Oryzias latipes: one gene and its partner. The protein of the gene in region 2 purifies or fractionates together with the protein of the main gene of each other region. This does not show direct contact. Links are inferred from orthologs where the notes say so. Each region holds a gene or a part of one and is shown on either strand. Other genes may lie near its edges.

The links. Proteins that work in one complex are often made in the same cells at the same time.
Region 1: the proteins of acyl-coenzyme A thioesterase THEM4 (region 2) and akt1 purify together in Homo sapiens (co-immunoprecipitation; 4 studies listed by BioGRID and IntAct, with this or other methods). This does not show direct contact. The link is inferred for Oryzias latipes from reciprocal best matches to the Homo sapiens genes THEM4 and AKT1.

What each region holds. Positions count from the first base shown.
Region 1 is NC_019880.2:14,690,199-14,698,209, forward strand, and holds part of akt1 (RAC-alpha serine/threonine-protein kinase), read left to right. Parts: intron 1-602; coding exon 603-731; intron 732-3,461; coding exon 3,462-3,676; intron 3,677-4,453; coding exon 4,454-4,541; intron 4,542-5,005; coding exon 5,006-5,108; intron 5,109-7,660; coding exon 7,661-7,740; 3' UTR 7,741-8,011. UniProt on the Homo sapiens protein: AKT1 is one of 3 closely related serine/threonine-protein kinases (AKT1, AKT2 and AKT3) called the AKT kinase, and which regulate many processes including metabolism, proliferation, cell survival, growth and angiogenesis.
Region 2 is NC_019874.2:18,083,811-18,092,351, reverse strand, and holds acyl-coenzyme A thioesterase THEM4, read right to left. Parts: upstream 4,281-8,541; 5' UTR 3,927-4,280; coding exon 3,810-3,926; intron 3,199-3,809; coding exon 3,018-3,198; intron 2,343-3,017; coding exon 2,180-2,342; intron 1,919-2,179; coding exon 1,808-1,918; intron 1,469-1,807; coding exon 1,344-1,468; intron 1,257-1,343; coding exon 1,213-1,256; 3' UTR 845-1,212; downstream 1-844. Other genes in the region: uncharacterized protein LOC101172357, read right to left, coding at 6,488-6,521, 6,645-6,762, 6,857-6,911, 7,050-7,346; FK506-binding protein 4, read left to right, coding at 8,078-8,371. UniProt on the Homo sapiens protein: Has acyl-CoA thioesterase activity towards medium and long-chain (C14 to C18) fatty acyl-CoA substrates, and probably plays a role in mitochondrial fatty acid metabolism. Plays a role in the apoptotic process, possibly via its regulation of AKT1 activity.

The DNA of each region.
Region 1 (8,011 bases), on a different chromosome or scaffold from region 2:
CGCTAGCCACGTGTGAGATACAGCTGTCAGGTGACTTGGACTGAAAAAGCGGGATGGCGAGGGGAGCCGTGCAACCTCAGATTGTGACACTGCCTGATGCATCTCATTTCGGCAATTACTCTAAATTTGTTGTGGCCAAGTACTCTGTCATCTACTCAAATTTGCTTCAAAAAATAAACAAAACACAACTTTGTGTAGGTCAAGATAACATCTGCAGTGTTATAGAAAAAAACATTTAAGACTAGAAAGGATAAGAAGGACATGTAGGGATTTTTCTCCAACCTGTAGCTGTTGGGGACCCCCCAGCAAGTACCCACAGAGATCGAACCAATGAAAAGAAATCTCTCCTAAAAGTCCAAGGCCTCAGTTCTGTTTCCTTCTTTCGACATACAAGCCCGAATATGTTTTTGTCAAACTTGTTACTGTGAACTATGATTAAATAACCTTTGCTAAGCACAGCAGTGGGGACATTATGATTAGGCACATTTTGCAACAAGACCTACAGATAATGAGTGAACTATTAAAAAAAATGTTCCTTAAGGAGTTGATGTCAATATATTGCAATTTTTAACTGGGGTTCCTTTTCCTTTGTTTTTTCTTAGCTGGAAAACCTCATGCTGGACAAAGACGGACACATAAAGATTACAGACTTTGGCCTGTGTAAGGAGGGAATCAAAGACGGTGCAACCATGAAAACCTTCTGTGGGACACCGGAGTACCTTGCACCCGAGGTAAGCGCAGGAAAGCATTTTTCTAAAAGCCAGTTGTCCGATCTCACTTGGACCTAAAAGAAAAACCGAACACTGTAGAGGTTTTGGTCGGGGACCATTTTATTTAGAATAGTTGTTCCCACACACCAAACCCGCTCTGCTTAATATTCAGCAACCAGCTGACTACATGGCGCAAGGATGTAGCAAATAAAGTTGCTTAAATGGTGGATTCACGCTTATTAATGTATGTGGAACATTTTATTCTGTTTTTTTTTTTTTGCATTTATCCGTTGCACCTTAAAAGTTGCACGAGGCTGAAGTTGGCGTCTATTTCACAGAGGATGAACTGCTAAGTTGTTTTGGTTTTCAGAGAAAAATCTTTAGATTAGCTGCTCCTGAAGCACGATTGGCATTCGCTTTTGGAAAGCCGACCCCCTCGACACATGTGACATCTCCAGATCTCGCATAAAAAGGCAGCACGTGTCGTTGCACATCAATAGATTTGACAATTTAACCGAAAGAGCAGCTGTCCGAAAATGCCTTTCTAATCTCCAGCTGAAGTTAAGTTAATGAGTACTTTGCGTGCCCAGGGCAGGGTAGCCTGCTCTCGTCTTTGCTCTAAGGGGTGTGGCTGCTCCCAGTTGCGTGCAGGTATGGGGTGTGCTGTGTAACTCGATCCTTCACTTTAAGTGTACATGTGTTTGTTGCTCCCTTTTGCCTGCTGTTGTAAAAATGCTTCAGGAAGGAGAGCGTCTGTATTGACACAGTTGTTGCATTGTTGCTTTTAAACTGCATTTGGCAGTTCGGGGTTGGGAGGAGGAGGAGTGATAGCCTGGCAGCACCTGAGGAAATGCGAGCTTCCACTTCTGGAAGATGGAGGGCGTTTGAAAGAGACCACAATGGCTGCAACTGTTGTGTGGTACCAGGTTGCAGAGCCTGATGCTGCTTTGGATGCCTCACCTGACCCCAGCTTACTCAGAGCTGGTATGAGCTCCACAGCGCTTCAGGCCGCTACGTTTTTCTCCTTCAGGAAGCAGACTGACATCCTTCTCAGCACAGTTTTTAAACCTTCTCACCTGGAAAAAAACTACACTTGTTTTTCCATATTTGTGTCAACCTGCTCCTCTCCGAAGAGTTGCAGGGCTCGAAACGGCTCCTAAACTCAGCATCGCGGCAGAGGGTGTTGCCGCGGTAACGGGGTCGCTGGTGAGCGTCTCCATGGAGTGCGGGCCAGGCAGTGTTACAGGTTGTTCTGCAGTAAACAATGACCTTGTTGTGTATGTGTGTGTGTGTGTGCTGCACAGGAATGTTGTAACGTCTGGGAATATTCCACCCAGAGCTGCTGAGAGAAAAGGAGGGGGGGGGGGGGGGGGGGGGGGGCAGGCTGGATCTGCAGCAGCCTGACCAGAGTGTCTCTAGAGTGAGGAGTGAGACAAATTCACTTAGTCACTTTTATGAAGCACTTCCAGAAGAAAACCATTATTGGCTGAGGGAATTGGCTGTTGGGCGAACATCCACAAAATAAGAAAAGTTGATGTGTTTAATTTAGCCACCAGCGCTGCTCTGGATTCACCAGCTTGAAAGATTAATGACGTCCAGCGTAGAACTTCTGTAAGCAGAAGAAAATGCAGTATAAGAATTGAAGCAGCAAGTGTCCCTTTCATCCTGTCCTCCCTTTCCCTCCTGCATATCTACTCCTCCGAGGTGCTGTAACTGCATTAGTTCAGGGCTGGGGGCCGGATCCGACTGGCTCAGAAGCAGCCCTGGTTACATATATGAGGGATGAGCTTGGCTCCTGCGCTCCTGGCAGCTTCACAGCTGTGGTGCTCTTCTACATATATGGGGCAGCTGCAGGCCCAGCTGTCGCACGGTGTGAATCACACGACAGCAGTGCTGGAAATAGAGACAACCCAGTAATCCTAGCCCTGTGCTGGCTTCACGTTACTCCCCCTCTGCCCTCCGCGATGCTCGGCGCTCACCGCAGCTCCAGGCCGAGAGCCCACGGGCGCATTCTCAAATGCACACCAGCCTTATTCCTTTTACAGGCACCTCTGTCGCCTGTTTCCCAGAAGCCCCTTTTTTCCCCCCCTCCACCCACAACCCTCTCTGTCCATATCTAAACCCTTTCTCCACCATCCGCTTTTATGTAAGTGCCTTTTCTTAGATTTGATCTATCCTGTATCAAGCCGTTGAAGGTTTAAGAGAACAGACGGTTCTCCTTGTCTTGATTTCACCTTCAACATCTGCCTGGTGAGGTAAAAACCTGTACGCGTCCCCAGAGACCTTGGAGCGCCTTCGCTCAGCTGCACATTAGACATTCAACAGGTTGTGATGTTCAGCGAGCGTAACCGTGGAGGAGTGCGTCTCGTAAGAACCGTCAACAAAAAGTGTTTTGGAAAGACTGAGACAAAATATTTTCTTTTCAGAGACTTTTACATTTTGGTTTATTTTCCTTTTTATTTTTTATTGTTGGGACACATATTTGCTTGTTTAAAGTGCACCTCTGCTGTTTGTTGGTGGATCCGTGTGTGTTTGTAAAAAAAAAAAAAAAGGCCCCTTGGTGATTAAAAATGCAACACTCCAGAGGAAACTATCTAAGACGAGATGTCAGTGGGAGCAGAAGCCATAATAGCCAAAGTTTAGTTGCCAAAGTGTTATTTTCTTTTTGCTCTAAAACACAATCATTATCAACTTGAAACGTCACAAGCTCTGCATTAAAAAACTCTTTACCCGCTCCTTCTTGTCCTGCAGGTTTTAGAAGACAACGACTACGGCCGCGCCGTGGACTGGTGGGGTCTTGGTGTGGTCATGTACGAGATGATGTGCGGCAGACTCCCCTTCTACAACCAGGACCATGAGAAACTGTTCGAGCTCATCCTCATGGAAGACATCCGTTTCCCTCGCACTCTGGGTCCTGAAGCGCGTTCCCTGCTCTCTGGTCTCCTGAAGAAAGACCCAATGCAACGGTGAGACGTCTATTGAAAACATATACAGTGGTTCCTCTGTTATCGCAGGAGTTGCGTTATAAAAATAACTCGCGATAGACAAAATCTACAAAGCTTTTCTAATGCTACGTGCACGCCGGACATGTGATGTATGATGTATGTACGTGTGTTCTTAATCATGCTTTTAGCACATGGTGTTCACACTGGACTGTCGCTACCTGATACTAGTACCTATAGTTAAAAGAGGCTTGATGTCAAATGTCAAAGTGGTCCAAAACTCGCAAATCCTGCCCCCAGGCTTTCCGATATATCAAAGACTTGGTGCGATGACAAACCGCAATTATACAATTCTCCTTCATGATCTATTATTAACCGGTTGACACTTCTATGAATGTTAAAGGACGCAATCCATACATCACAACCAAATCAGAGTCTCTGGTCAAAGTTCAACTTTTTGACTTTTTGCATGTAGAACCCAAAGATGGACTTAAAAACTTGCATAGCGCCTTGTGAAACACAAGGGTATTGAAAGGTGCATATATGCGCGTTTACATAGACTTTTTATTGGAAGTGGCCGCTTGAACGCACGTCTCTAAGGCCCAGTGTGAACATAGACAGACATGAACATTTTCACATTTAAGCTCAAACCTAAATGTGAACACAAGCACTGCTTAAAAAAATTTGCAAAAGTACAAGACCGGGGAAGATGAACAGCGTTATATTGCAGAACCACTGTAGTCTGTGCTTGATTGTTTATAGGTGAGGCTTGACATGAATCTGCTGTGCCTCTGCTTCCAGGTTAGGCGGAGGGCCGAATGATGCAAAAGAAATCATGCAGCACAAGTTCTTTGCTGGTATTATTTGGCAGGATGTCTATGAGAAGAAGGTGGGTTCCTACAAAGCAGCAGAGGTGATGTCATGTTTTTATTGTAATGTGAAGTAAATCAGAATCATTTGCAGTCAAAAGAATCGAAATTAAATGAGTTTCCTCTTAGACCTTTGGTAATGTTTGCTGGACAGCAAAGAAAGTGCAGTTTGATGTAGAGGAAGAAGAATTAAGGGACTGTAAATAACAATTATGAAGTAACAGAAGTCAAAAGATGTTTATATATTATACATATAATAACCCATGAATTGTTTTAAACATCAAGATTAATGTAAATTAAGAAAATTCAAGTAAGCGTAAAACCTTTAGGTCAAATAACTTTCAATTTTTGTATTGTGATGGATGCATACTTTAGGGATCATGACGACTACACAAGTCTGACCAACATCAGCTGACTGGCAACTGTTTCTGCTCTGACTCATGTCAGCCAATGTCCTCACATAATTGTCTCATCCCCTCCACAGCTGGTCCCACCATTTAAGCCGCAAGTTACCTCAGAGACGGATACACGATATTTTGACGAAGAGTTCACGGCACAAACCATCACTATCACACCACCTGGACAAGGTAGAAGAACCTTACAGAAATGCAACTTGGCTTCAGTTATAAACTGTAAAACAAAATCCCACTTTGGTTTTATGTGAATGTATTTTTTTGTAACAAAGCTCCTGAGCAACCAAAGACAGAATGACGATAAACTCGTCTAATTCATTCCTTTTAACACTAAAGATGAATCCTAACTCTTCTTTGCATGGCTTTTTAAATTACTGTTCCAAGAAAATATAGGTATATTCACAACGTATTCTCTTAAAGTATTCCAGTGGACTTTTAAAAAACTTTATGAGATGTCAAATTAAAGTGCCAGACGTATTCAAACTTACAAAACAGGGTACATTAAGTTTTTGCCTCTGCAGAAATGCTCCTAAAAATGTTCAAGTTAGTTCTGTATGCCCTCTACTGGAAAAGTGGCACCATTGAAGTACTGTAGATTGATGTATACAGTGAGGCAAGTCAGTCACCGATTCCACAGGTTGTCCCACTTTAAAAGAAGAGAAAGGTCTGTAATGTTCATCATACGTTCACTTCTACTGTGAGAGACGGAATGTAAAGAAAGAATCTAAGAAATTAAGTTGTTTGGTTTTAATTTTTTCATTAGTAAATCTGCATTGAAGAGACTTCTTTGAACTTCTGCATACAAGTAGACTGCATTACATTAATGAACACAGTGATGGAAAATATCAGTTGAGCTCAGAAAGTCTTAAAAGACGTAAGGGCTTATTAAAAAAAACAGGAAGATCCAAACCTACAGTTGTAATCTCTGATTTTGATCCAAGGAATTTTAATATGGAATTTTTGTCTCAAAAATCAAAGGCTTCTCAGTTGGTTGGTCATGAACAGTTTGAGAGCCATTACAACTGGAAAGAAGGATACAATCCTATTCCAGCTAATGTTTCTTCTTCTTCAGATCTGACTGGTTATTTATTAAAACAGTGCAACATTATGAAAGAGATTTTGAATAAATTATAGTTTCCCTAAAGTAAATCTAATTAAACGTCTTATGTTTTTTTTTTAAATTAAGAATACTCTTTGAAAATGTCTGACTTGGTATGAACTGGCTTTGCCCTGAGTGTCCGCCATAAGACCAGCCTGTTTCTTTCCTCCTTCTGTCCTGATTCTTTTTCTCTCTTCTAGATGTAAAAATTGTATTTTTAATTTGAAATAATAATTTTGTTGGATATCAGTTAGTGGTGTAATAGAATGGATTTCTTTATTGTTGTCAAATTTCTCCAAATGTTCAACTAAAATCCAAAGTATCGTTCAGCCAAAGTGATATTAAAAGCAATAGGCTGTAAACTAAATAGTCACTCAAAAATAAAAAAGCATCCTTTTAGCTTTTAACAAAAACACCATCTACCCACCATCACACATACTTCTCCCTTCTGCCCATAGGAGCAGCTTTTATTATCATAAAAGTTTCAGCCAAAGGATATAAACTTTTTCAGTGTTTTGGTACATCTAGTTAAAGAAATTATTTAAAACAAAATAGGCACAAACAAGCTCAGCGCGTTCTTGCGGACACGTGCTGGATTGCAATCTCTGTACAAGACCTGATGGAGGGAGGGAGGAGCGGATGGGGCGCCCGATCAGTTACGATGTGCTTCTGTTACTGATCATATCATGTAAATATATGTGCACAAACAGCAGTGAAATTAAAAAATACTGACTGTAAATAATTTTCACGTAATCCTACGTCATGGGTTTTACTTATCGCAGGTTACTTTTACAACGTAACCCCTGCAAAGAAAAGAGGGAACAACTGATATCTGGATTGGCTTAAAATGCTTATAGACCAACTGATGAATATGGTGTTTTTAATGTTTTTAACATGTACTTGTGGCATTTTTCTAATAAAAAATTAGAAAAAAAATTAGAAAAAAAAATAAAATTTTATATATATATATATATATATATATATATATATATATATATATATATATATATATATATATATATATATATATATATATATATATAAAAATAAAATTGTTTTGAATCAGGAGCATACACAACAATGCTGTTTAAAAACGCCTGTAGCTGTTGCGTAGAAGCCACAAGCTCCTGTTCTGCTCCATTCTAATGCATCCACTTGTAGACAAATAGATCCATGTACATTTTCGTTTCTCTCGTCTGAGCTGGTATATGACTTAAAACTGTACAGCTGGAGCAATCCAGCTCCAATATTTCTTGCCATTTTTGTTGTCCCGACAATGTTAGGCTAGGGATATGATGGACTATAAGCTAGTGAGAGAGCATGTAGACAGATGGATGATGGGAAGCAGGGGCGGGCTTGTTCTGTGCCAACAGTCCTGCCCACAACTCAGAGGAAAATTCATATGAACGCTCTGCAGATACCATGTCCTAACCCCCCCCCCCCCCCCCCCCCCCCCCCCCACAGTTTTTTAAATTTACAATTGCATAATCATAATTAAAAGACGACCGGGAATGTTTTTGCAATGGATCAAAAGATGATCAGAGTGGGACATAAAAGACTTAAATGTCTAATATTTGTTCTTTTGTTTCTAATATTGTCATCCTTTTTTTTTTCCTGTGAAACTCAGATGACAGTATGGAGTCCTTTGACAGTGAACGGAGACCCCACTTCCCCCAGTTCTCCTATTCTGCCAGTGGGACGGCCTAAACTCTCAAGCATTCCTCTGGTCCCACCATCTCCACCCGACTGCACTCTCCAAAGGCCGAGGCGTCAGCCGTGTCCTCTCAGTATTGTCTGCAGGAGCTCCCATTGGTTGCAACATTCACAATCTGCAAAGCTGTGTTTAATAGGAAGGAGGGGGTGCAAGTAAAAACAAAGATGCATGTGTTTGCTCTGTGCAGCTTTTTAAAACTGACCATGGAGATAACACTACCTTCCATTCCTGGCTGGCTTGTACCGAGCATTTCTACACCATAAC
Region 2 (8,541 bases):
GAATGGTTTTTACCATAACAATTGATGCTTTAGTTAAATATCTAATTGTAAAAAAAAAATGTAAAAATAAATCATTTAATAACATTTTAAAGACAAACATATTGAAAAGAAGTGAATGTTTTTTCCTTAAAACTAAGCAAAAACAAACTTTTTTTTTTAAACCCATTCCTTCAGATGGTTTTGCCTTTAGGACTAAGAGCACACAGCAGTGGTGTGATCAGAGACACCACTGCTTTCACACAAAAAGCAATGTAAAAAACACAGGTGTTTTTCATAAGTATTCTATTATTAGCAATGTGGTCTGAGTGCGATGCCAGAGCAGCAGGAATCTGTGTGGTGCAGATGATGTTCATTATCAAAGCACTGTGTGGCGTGCCTCAGTCATATCTGAATGTAGATTCATGCTCCGAGCGCCAGAGTGAATAGCAGGTGCTGATATGACGATTTCAAGTTTAAAAGCTTTTTTTTTTGGTTTTGTTTGTAAGTCATGATACCCTCATAAGCGTGAAAAACCCATAGGTCTTATTGAAGTACAACCACATCCATCACATGGTGATATAACAACCGACGACCCCAGTGCAAAGATCAAAACAAATGTGCATCATTAAAGTCACGCTGGCTGTCACACATAGAGGGGGGAGAAATTTTGTTTTCTGCATTTGACCCACTGTCTGGGGTAGCAGTGAGCAGCAGTCATGCTCAGGTTCCATTTGGTGGTTCAACTCCCAAATGACAAAACTATGGATTTGATCCATAATATTTTAATCTCTGGGCGGACGCTGTACCAGTAGGACAAATGAGCTCATATGCAAAAAATACTAAAAGAAGGACAAATATAGATATATACTTATTGCAGTTTGTTTTCTGTTGCACCATGGAAGAGTGTTTATTGAGCTACTCCACAAAAATAAGTACAGCTCATTCATGTTTAAGGCCACAATATACCTGAAAACAATACAATTTTGTTCAACAATAAAATACACCTTAAATAAAGTTTAAAGATATGTGAAGTCAAAATAAAAGTTGGCAGAAACTGTTAATAAAATAGCATATAATTAAAAGCAAACAATGTTATATTTACATTCAATTTTCATTTTATAGAAAATATGTACATATTTCAAACCAAAAGGACACTTTTTTTTTTTTTTTACAGTGTCACACACACACACACACCTGTGACAGATTTGTTGTTTGTGGCAGACTGAAATGTTGTCACCCTTTCAGCAGATGAGCGACACTGATCGACACAAACAGTGCTGCATGAAAGAAAACAGCAGAGTGACATTGAAGGCAGCTCTTAACAGACAAGGCTGTTGTGTTGAAATTTGGGGAAATGCGTTTACCTGTTGCATCAGTGTGCCTCTTTGAGCCATCAGTGCTGGTCACTTTGCATGAAATATATAATTTTCTGCCTTCTGTTTTCTCCAGCGTGGACTCAATCAACACTGTGCTTCCCAGTGGGATGGGGCTTGGAATAAGAAAAACTGTTTGTTAGGTCGAGGTGACCCATAATAGTGAAGTCAAGACCAGAAACACTGAAAACAAGAGTCATCTGGGAGCTGTGGAATCACAATGTGTACCAAAATATTTCGTGTCAGTATGCTAAAGGCAGATCAACTTAAAAAGTTGTACAAACGGTAAATTAATGGAAAAAGCAGCTGCAACAAATACATAAATAAACTAATTTTTTTGAGGGCTCCAATGACTTTAAATTTTTGTTTTTCATAAAGAAAAGTAGAAGATCTGAATACATAGGATTCATAAGAAAAAAAACCCCAAAGATAAATTATATCACATCGTTTCATACCTGCGGTAGTCAATGTTGAGGTTGGCCGTCATAACTGGGGCAGAAATCGCAGATGCATGAGTTCCAGTCACTGTGTCAATCATGGTCGCTATTGCCCCCCCGTGGACATGTCTGGAATTACATCCAGCATGGAAAAAGAAGCCACATAAATTCATACTTACTGTGTGTTCTCATTATGGCAAATATGAAAAAACACAAGAAATGTCGGATTAGTCAGACACTCCAAACTACAGCAAATGACAGCAAATACTTGTTTGTGTTTAATTTGAGAGTTTGCTTCATTTCTACCTAAAAAGAATATGTTAGAAAACACTCATCAACTTTTATAGTGGTTTGATTCTAAAATCAATATGGCAAGAAAAGCTGTCTCACCCTGGAGGTCCTTCCAGCAAGTGTCCCGCTTGGAAAACGCACACACACCTCTCTTTTTCTTTGTTGATAAAGAGAACATATTCAAAAGCAGCACCAGGTTCACGAATGTTTCGGGTGAAGAGACGCGCTTTTGACTGGATTATTTTGCTCAGATAAACTCCACCTAATGTGACAGAAAAAAAAAGGATTGTTCGTTATTATATGAAAAGTTAACAACTTTCATGCTTTCTGTTTAACAAACTAAGACCAAGTGCATCTTTATAACCATCCTTATGTTTTTGCTTTAAAAAAAAAAGAAAGATCAAAGCAGCAGTTTTTGAATTCAGTAAAGTGACTCATAAAAGCTACAGTTCATTACTGTACATACATTAAAATTATTTGTTGTAAAAGTTAGATTTTATATGCTAGAAACTTTTCTTTCTCCATTTAATCCTGTCCTAAAGTTACTTATCAGTCAAATAAAATAAAAAACAAGGTTGGCCAAAATCCAATGCAGGAAATGACAACAAATTGAACAAATTTATATTATCTGGTGTTCCTAACGAATGTTTGGGATTAATTTTTTTGTCTTGTAACTATAATATGCTTTGAATCTGATTAAATTTGCATGGTCAGTAAAACATTAATATCACAGCCCTGTGACAGTCAGGAATTCTTGTTCACAGCCATGTGAAAGCTTCTCTGCATTGTGTCTCTAGGTGCCTAAAAACTATGTCTAGACTAAAAATGTGAACAGATAATAATAATAATGATTATCAAAGTTCAAACTGTGCTTTGGAACATTGAAGTGCCCAAAGGATTTTTTTTTAAAAACAGACAAGAATCTTTGTTTCTGTACCTGTTGCATATTTAAGGGAACGGTTGTAGCTTGGGAGTCTCTTCCATTCCCTCCCCTGGTTCTCCTCTCCTTCTGTTTCTACGTCAGATTGGCCGTTATAAAATTCATAGAGTCGCATCATCTCTTCCCCCCATGAGGAGTTGGGCAGGCTGAAGTCCCTGGACTTGGAGAAGAGCATCTGCTGGAGATTTAAAAAAAAAATGCTTTCAGACCTTTCAGATAAAGACATTGTTACCTGAAACCACAGGACAGGACTGAGCCGACGGACTGGATTCCTAAAATTGCACATAGTTGTACAGATGCTAAGTGTTCAGACAAAACATGAGCTATAATGATATAGATTTGTGGCTCCAATTTCATGTATTTTCAGCAATTTGTTTCTCACCTGGTTTCTTTTTGACTAAATAAAAATAAACATTATATTTAATATTTAAAGATTAATACATATAAAGTAATAACATTGTTATTTTCTTAATATTTAAAAAAAGAAAGAAAGAAAAACAGAACTAACAAAGAGCAGTAAAATAATGATCAAATTTCACAAAACATTGTAAATCAGTGTAGTTCTTAGATTTCTATGCCATGGACAATATGAACTCTGTCTGTCTGTGTGCAGGGATCTCAATGTCCCAACAGTCAACCCAACATGACGCTTGAGCTGCAGCCATTCAGAGGCCTTAACTTAACCTGTCATAATGTGGCGCTGGCGATTTCCACAGACAAAAGCCCATTCTAAAAGATGACATGCGTTGATTCCAGCACTTTCCCCGAACAGCTGATCGTTCCACTCACCACCAGAGTCCTGGCAGGAGGAATGCTGCTGCTGTTGCGAGGAGGGCACGCGGGTGTCTTCATGAATGGAACGAGGCTCCCACAGCCTCCGAGTATTCTAGCGAGGTTCCTTGCCATCTTTGAAGGAGTGAGCGAGCACCGATTGTTTTTTAACGCTGCAACTTCTCGAAAAGACGAATTGTTAGTAGTTTTCCCCCCAGCTATTGACGTTTGTCCTTCGAAACGTCCAACGCTTCGTTAGCTAAACCCGTTATGAAATACTCTTGTTGCATTACAAACGTATCAGCTGTGAAATACCTCTTGTACATATTGAACACAGGAGTGTGTTCTGCGGCAGAAGATTGCAAAAATACCTCCTACTGGATTTCACTCAGTTAAATTAAGCGGTGACTTTCATGTGTCACGATGACAAACACTTCATCCAGCTTCCTGCCGGCAAGAGGAATCAGATTGCGTCACACCCACGTGATTGATAGCGTGCATTGTGATTGGCTGTAAATAATTGATCACATTTCCGGTAATACCCACATTGTTATGGTAACGATTGATAATTTTTTCACACCAAAAGGAGGACGGAGACGGAGTTTTGGGGTAAAACTCCGTCGTACATATACATGTACATATATTTATTTATTTTTGTTCATTTAGTCCTAAAAAAAAATCAGTGTCTCTTGAAATGAAATAACTTTTAAGACAAAACAAAAACCAAAAATGCCACAGTTTTAAAAAGTATGATCGTCTACAAGACTTTGTATCTATAATTGGGGCCTTTTTTTGTATGAATAATGCAGCATGGCACAGGTGACCAGTCCATGCCACTACTGGGGGGTTATAGAGGCCTGTAATCCTTTGGAGAGGCAAGCAGTTGATTTTCTGAGCTAAATACAGCAGCTGAGCAGCATTATGTCAAGGATGGATGAATGGAAAGTTTCTGTAAATGCAAGAATTATTGAACTTATAAATAAGACAAAAAATAGAATAGATAGAAAAAAAACAGAAGTATCCACAGTGTGGCAGTGTCTGCCTTTACAATGATGAAGAAACTTAATTTTGCTTAGGGATGTCTGTGTCTTGTGGAATTAACCCTTGTGCTATCTTAGATGACTCTACCCTTACACTGAGATGTTCTCCCTACCATGACAAAGATAGATAAAGGTGGAAAGATTTCATGTAATCCATGGACACCAGTGAAGTTCACAAATCATTGAAGAAAAAAGGTTCAGCGCACTGCCTATTGGGTCTAGTTGACCCAACTCCCAATATTAAAGTGTCTAGGATGGCACAAGGGTTGAGAATGAAAGGAAGTGTTTCAAAACTTCAAACTTTTATTAGTATCTACTACCTTTACTACTATTCATGTTCATTTGCCATTTTCTCCTAAATTGAAATATTAAAGTCCTATTAACCTCATATTGAAATTACAGAAATCCACACAATGAATTAAAGCACGATAAACATTATGCATTCAGCAGTTTAACTGCGTAAACAAAGTTTAACCAAAGATAAAGCATTTCAAATAAACAAAATCAATACATTAAAAGATATATATATTACAATACAATTCTCTGGCAGGGCATCTTAGAAGCAATTTCTTGTAATTCTTGTTTTTATTTATTTTATTTCATTTTCTTACCCACTGCTTTTAAATTATTAATCTTTTTATCAATTAATCTTTTTATTCTATTGCTATTTTTATTGTTTTTAATATGTGTATGTTTTATGAGTGGGCAGATGGCCAGTTTTAAATTTTTCCTCAGGGATTATTAAACACCTTTTCTATTCTATTCTATTCATATATATATATATATATATATATATATATATATATATATATATATATATATATATATATATATATATATTTTTTTTTTTTTACTTGGCTGTTCTTAAAGGCATTTCCTGCCACTTCGTGATCATTCAAAAATTAACTTTTAGAAGCATATAGAAAAACAAGTGGGTTTGTTTGTTTATTTTATTTCTGAAAAACTGTCAGTCTGCACAGGTGAGTTTAAGTGCAATGAAAACCCAGTAACGAGAAGAAAACATAATTACCTTTACAAAGTTTTTAGGTATGACAAACAGAAAAAGGACAAACTAGCAGATACACCTTTTTAACATGTTTTTTTTTTTTTCATGAAACAATATCAGAAACCATAACAGTCAGAAACTGGTATTACATAAAAGCCACAAAGAAAAATGTCTGTTTTTATTTATCACTCTCAATGCATTCATTTGATGTTTTTAGCATCTAAAATGATGCTTTATTTCCATAAAATAAAACATACAAAAGATCAAGGTTAAGCTGGTTTTCACAGGAGACATTCTGCATATCCTATAGTGATCCACACAAGGGCATCCAAACTATGCTAAACATGAACCCTATATAGCTCACATAGACATTGTGAACTGTGCATGACAGCCAGGGTCACGGATGCAAAGAATTACAAAATTATTTAACAAAATAAGTCCTACAAAACCAAAAAGGTCACCTTTGAAAATAATACAAACAGCCATGTCCCAATCTCAGAAGTCTCTCTAATTGATCCATGAACGTGATGTTGATCAACCCAGTCCTCATCACTTAAGAAAATAGGTAGGATCTCTATGCCATCAGTGAATTTCAACAGTATGTTCAAAGCTGGTTTATTTGATAACTGTCCAAGTTGACTAGGTTGACTTCATTTGGGTTCTTCAAAAACTCCACACAGCTTCCTAAAGAAATAAAATGAAGAACAAGAAAATTAAGTTAGGATTTTAAAGACATCCTCCATCATTGCCAAAACATAATTTTTATTTTTTGTTGCTCCTGATGCAAAAAGTGCTTAAAGTTCTTACCGTGCTTCTTCCTTGGTCATATCTGCATAAGCACATAGAGCTTTGTCTCTGCTTAAAACCTGCTCCTTTAAAGACCGAATTTCTTCTTGGGCTTTGTTTTTAGCCTCTTCATGGTCAGCTGGGGGAAAAATAGATAGACCAGGGAAAAACAACTTTCTTTAGTTAATCCATAAAAAATAATAAATAATCAAATTCTTATTTATCTGTCTTACTTTTGAGTTGAGCTAAGTTTTCTTCCAGCTCTGCCTTCTTTTTGTCGGTTTTGACCTAAAAATGAAACATGGGGAGATACTTGTAAGCAGTTAAGATGCAAATATTCACATGGGTCTATTAAAAAGAAGAAAACAATATAAGAATGTATTTTTGCAGGTTTATTTATAATACTAACTAGTCATTGTGTGTTACCTTTTCGCCATTGCAGGTCTCCAGAATTTTCTCAGCTTCTTGTAATAACTTCTCCCCCTCTGCCTTCTTCTTCCTCAGCTCCTCCACTTTACTGTTGACCTTCTCCAGCGTTGACCTGATCTCGTGGATTTTGGTTTTCATTTCCACGATGGAGGCTTCCTTTCTCTTAATTTCGACCGAGCTCTCCACCATCTGGTTCCTCATGTTGCGCAGGTTCATCTCCTGGCGCAGGGTCTGGAAGATCATGGCTCCCATCACGGCCACGCTGATAAGAGCTAAAACGACGACGACCTTCATCTCGGAGGGTGTTTGGGGGTAAAAGGTACAGAGCGCAGGTGATTACTCCGCAGATATCCGTCCGTCGTTCCGCAGGTTCATTCTCTTTCCTGGATGGTGATGTCAGCCTGATCTACCTGTTCAACCTGTGGGGCGTGACGGTCCTCCTGCTTCTTTGTTGCGCCGGCTTTTTTCGTTGTTTCCACCATATCTGCAGAATATGTTTCCACTTTATGTATTTTATAAGTAATTATATAGATATATACATATATTTTAAATACATTTTAAATCCTTGTAGCGAACCTTCTGTTTGTTTTAAATAAAGTTTTAAATAAAGTTTTGAATTGCAAAACTGTTTGGGCTAATTTAGCAGATAAGCTAGCAGATATTTAGGTTATTTTCACTTATTAATATCAATATTTCAGATAAACTCAGAATTTATTACTTTTATAAAACTAGACTGAAAGTCAGAAATGTGTGAAAGTATAACAGGTGTCATGTCGGCCTCTGAGAAGGAAGAGGGCGTTTCAAATCGGTAAGCCGTGCCCCAGCACAGGGCCAGCCAGCTACAAGTGCAGGTGAATCACCTGCTGTCCGAGCTCCAATGACTTTCGTTTGCTAACAGGGAGGAGCTCGCTGACACCCGCATGGAAACATAGGAAACCGCCGCTGCAACAGGTAGACCTTCAGCTAACACAACTCCAGCGTCGCTAACCGTTTCGGAACCATCTTCCAAGTTCTTCCTGCACGCCATGAAGGTGCAGTTTGTGATTCCCATGACCCTCATGGTGTCGGTTGCTTTGGTGGGGGTGATGAGAATGCGGAGGAAAGACCACGAGAAGGACGACAAGCGTGTCAGGTTTCAGGACATCAAGTTGAAGGTAACCAACGACGTGCTGACGGATTACCAGAATGAGATGGCGGAAAAGCAGCACACGAAGGAGAAGATCGAGGGCGAGCAGAAGACCCTGGAGGAACAGGTGGTCATCCTCCAGACCAAACTGGACTCCACAAAGGGATCCGCCAATGAGTGCCAGGGCAATCAGGTGGGCCCATGGGGAATAATTCAGGCTCAACAAAACAAACCAGACATGTTTTCTGACAGGTGTCACTGTTCTCTGCACATACTGGAAATTCCAGCTCGTCTTATTTGTGTTAAACTGGTGAAAGGTGGCTGGTCCTCAGCCATGATTTAACTGTGTCAAACCAAACATTT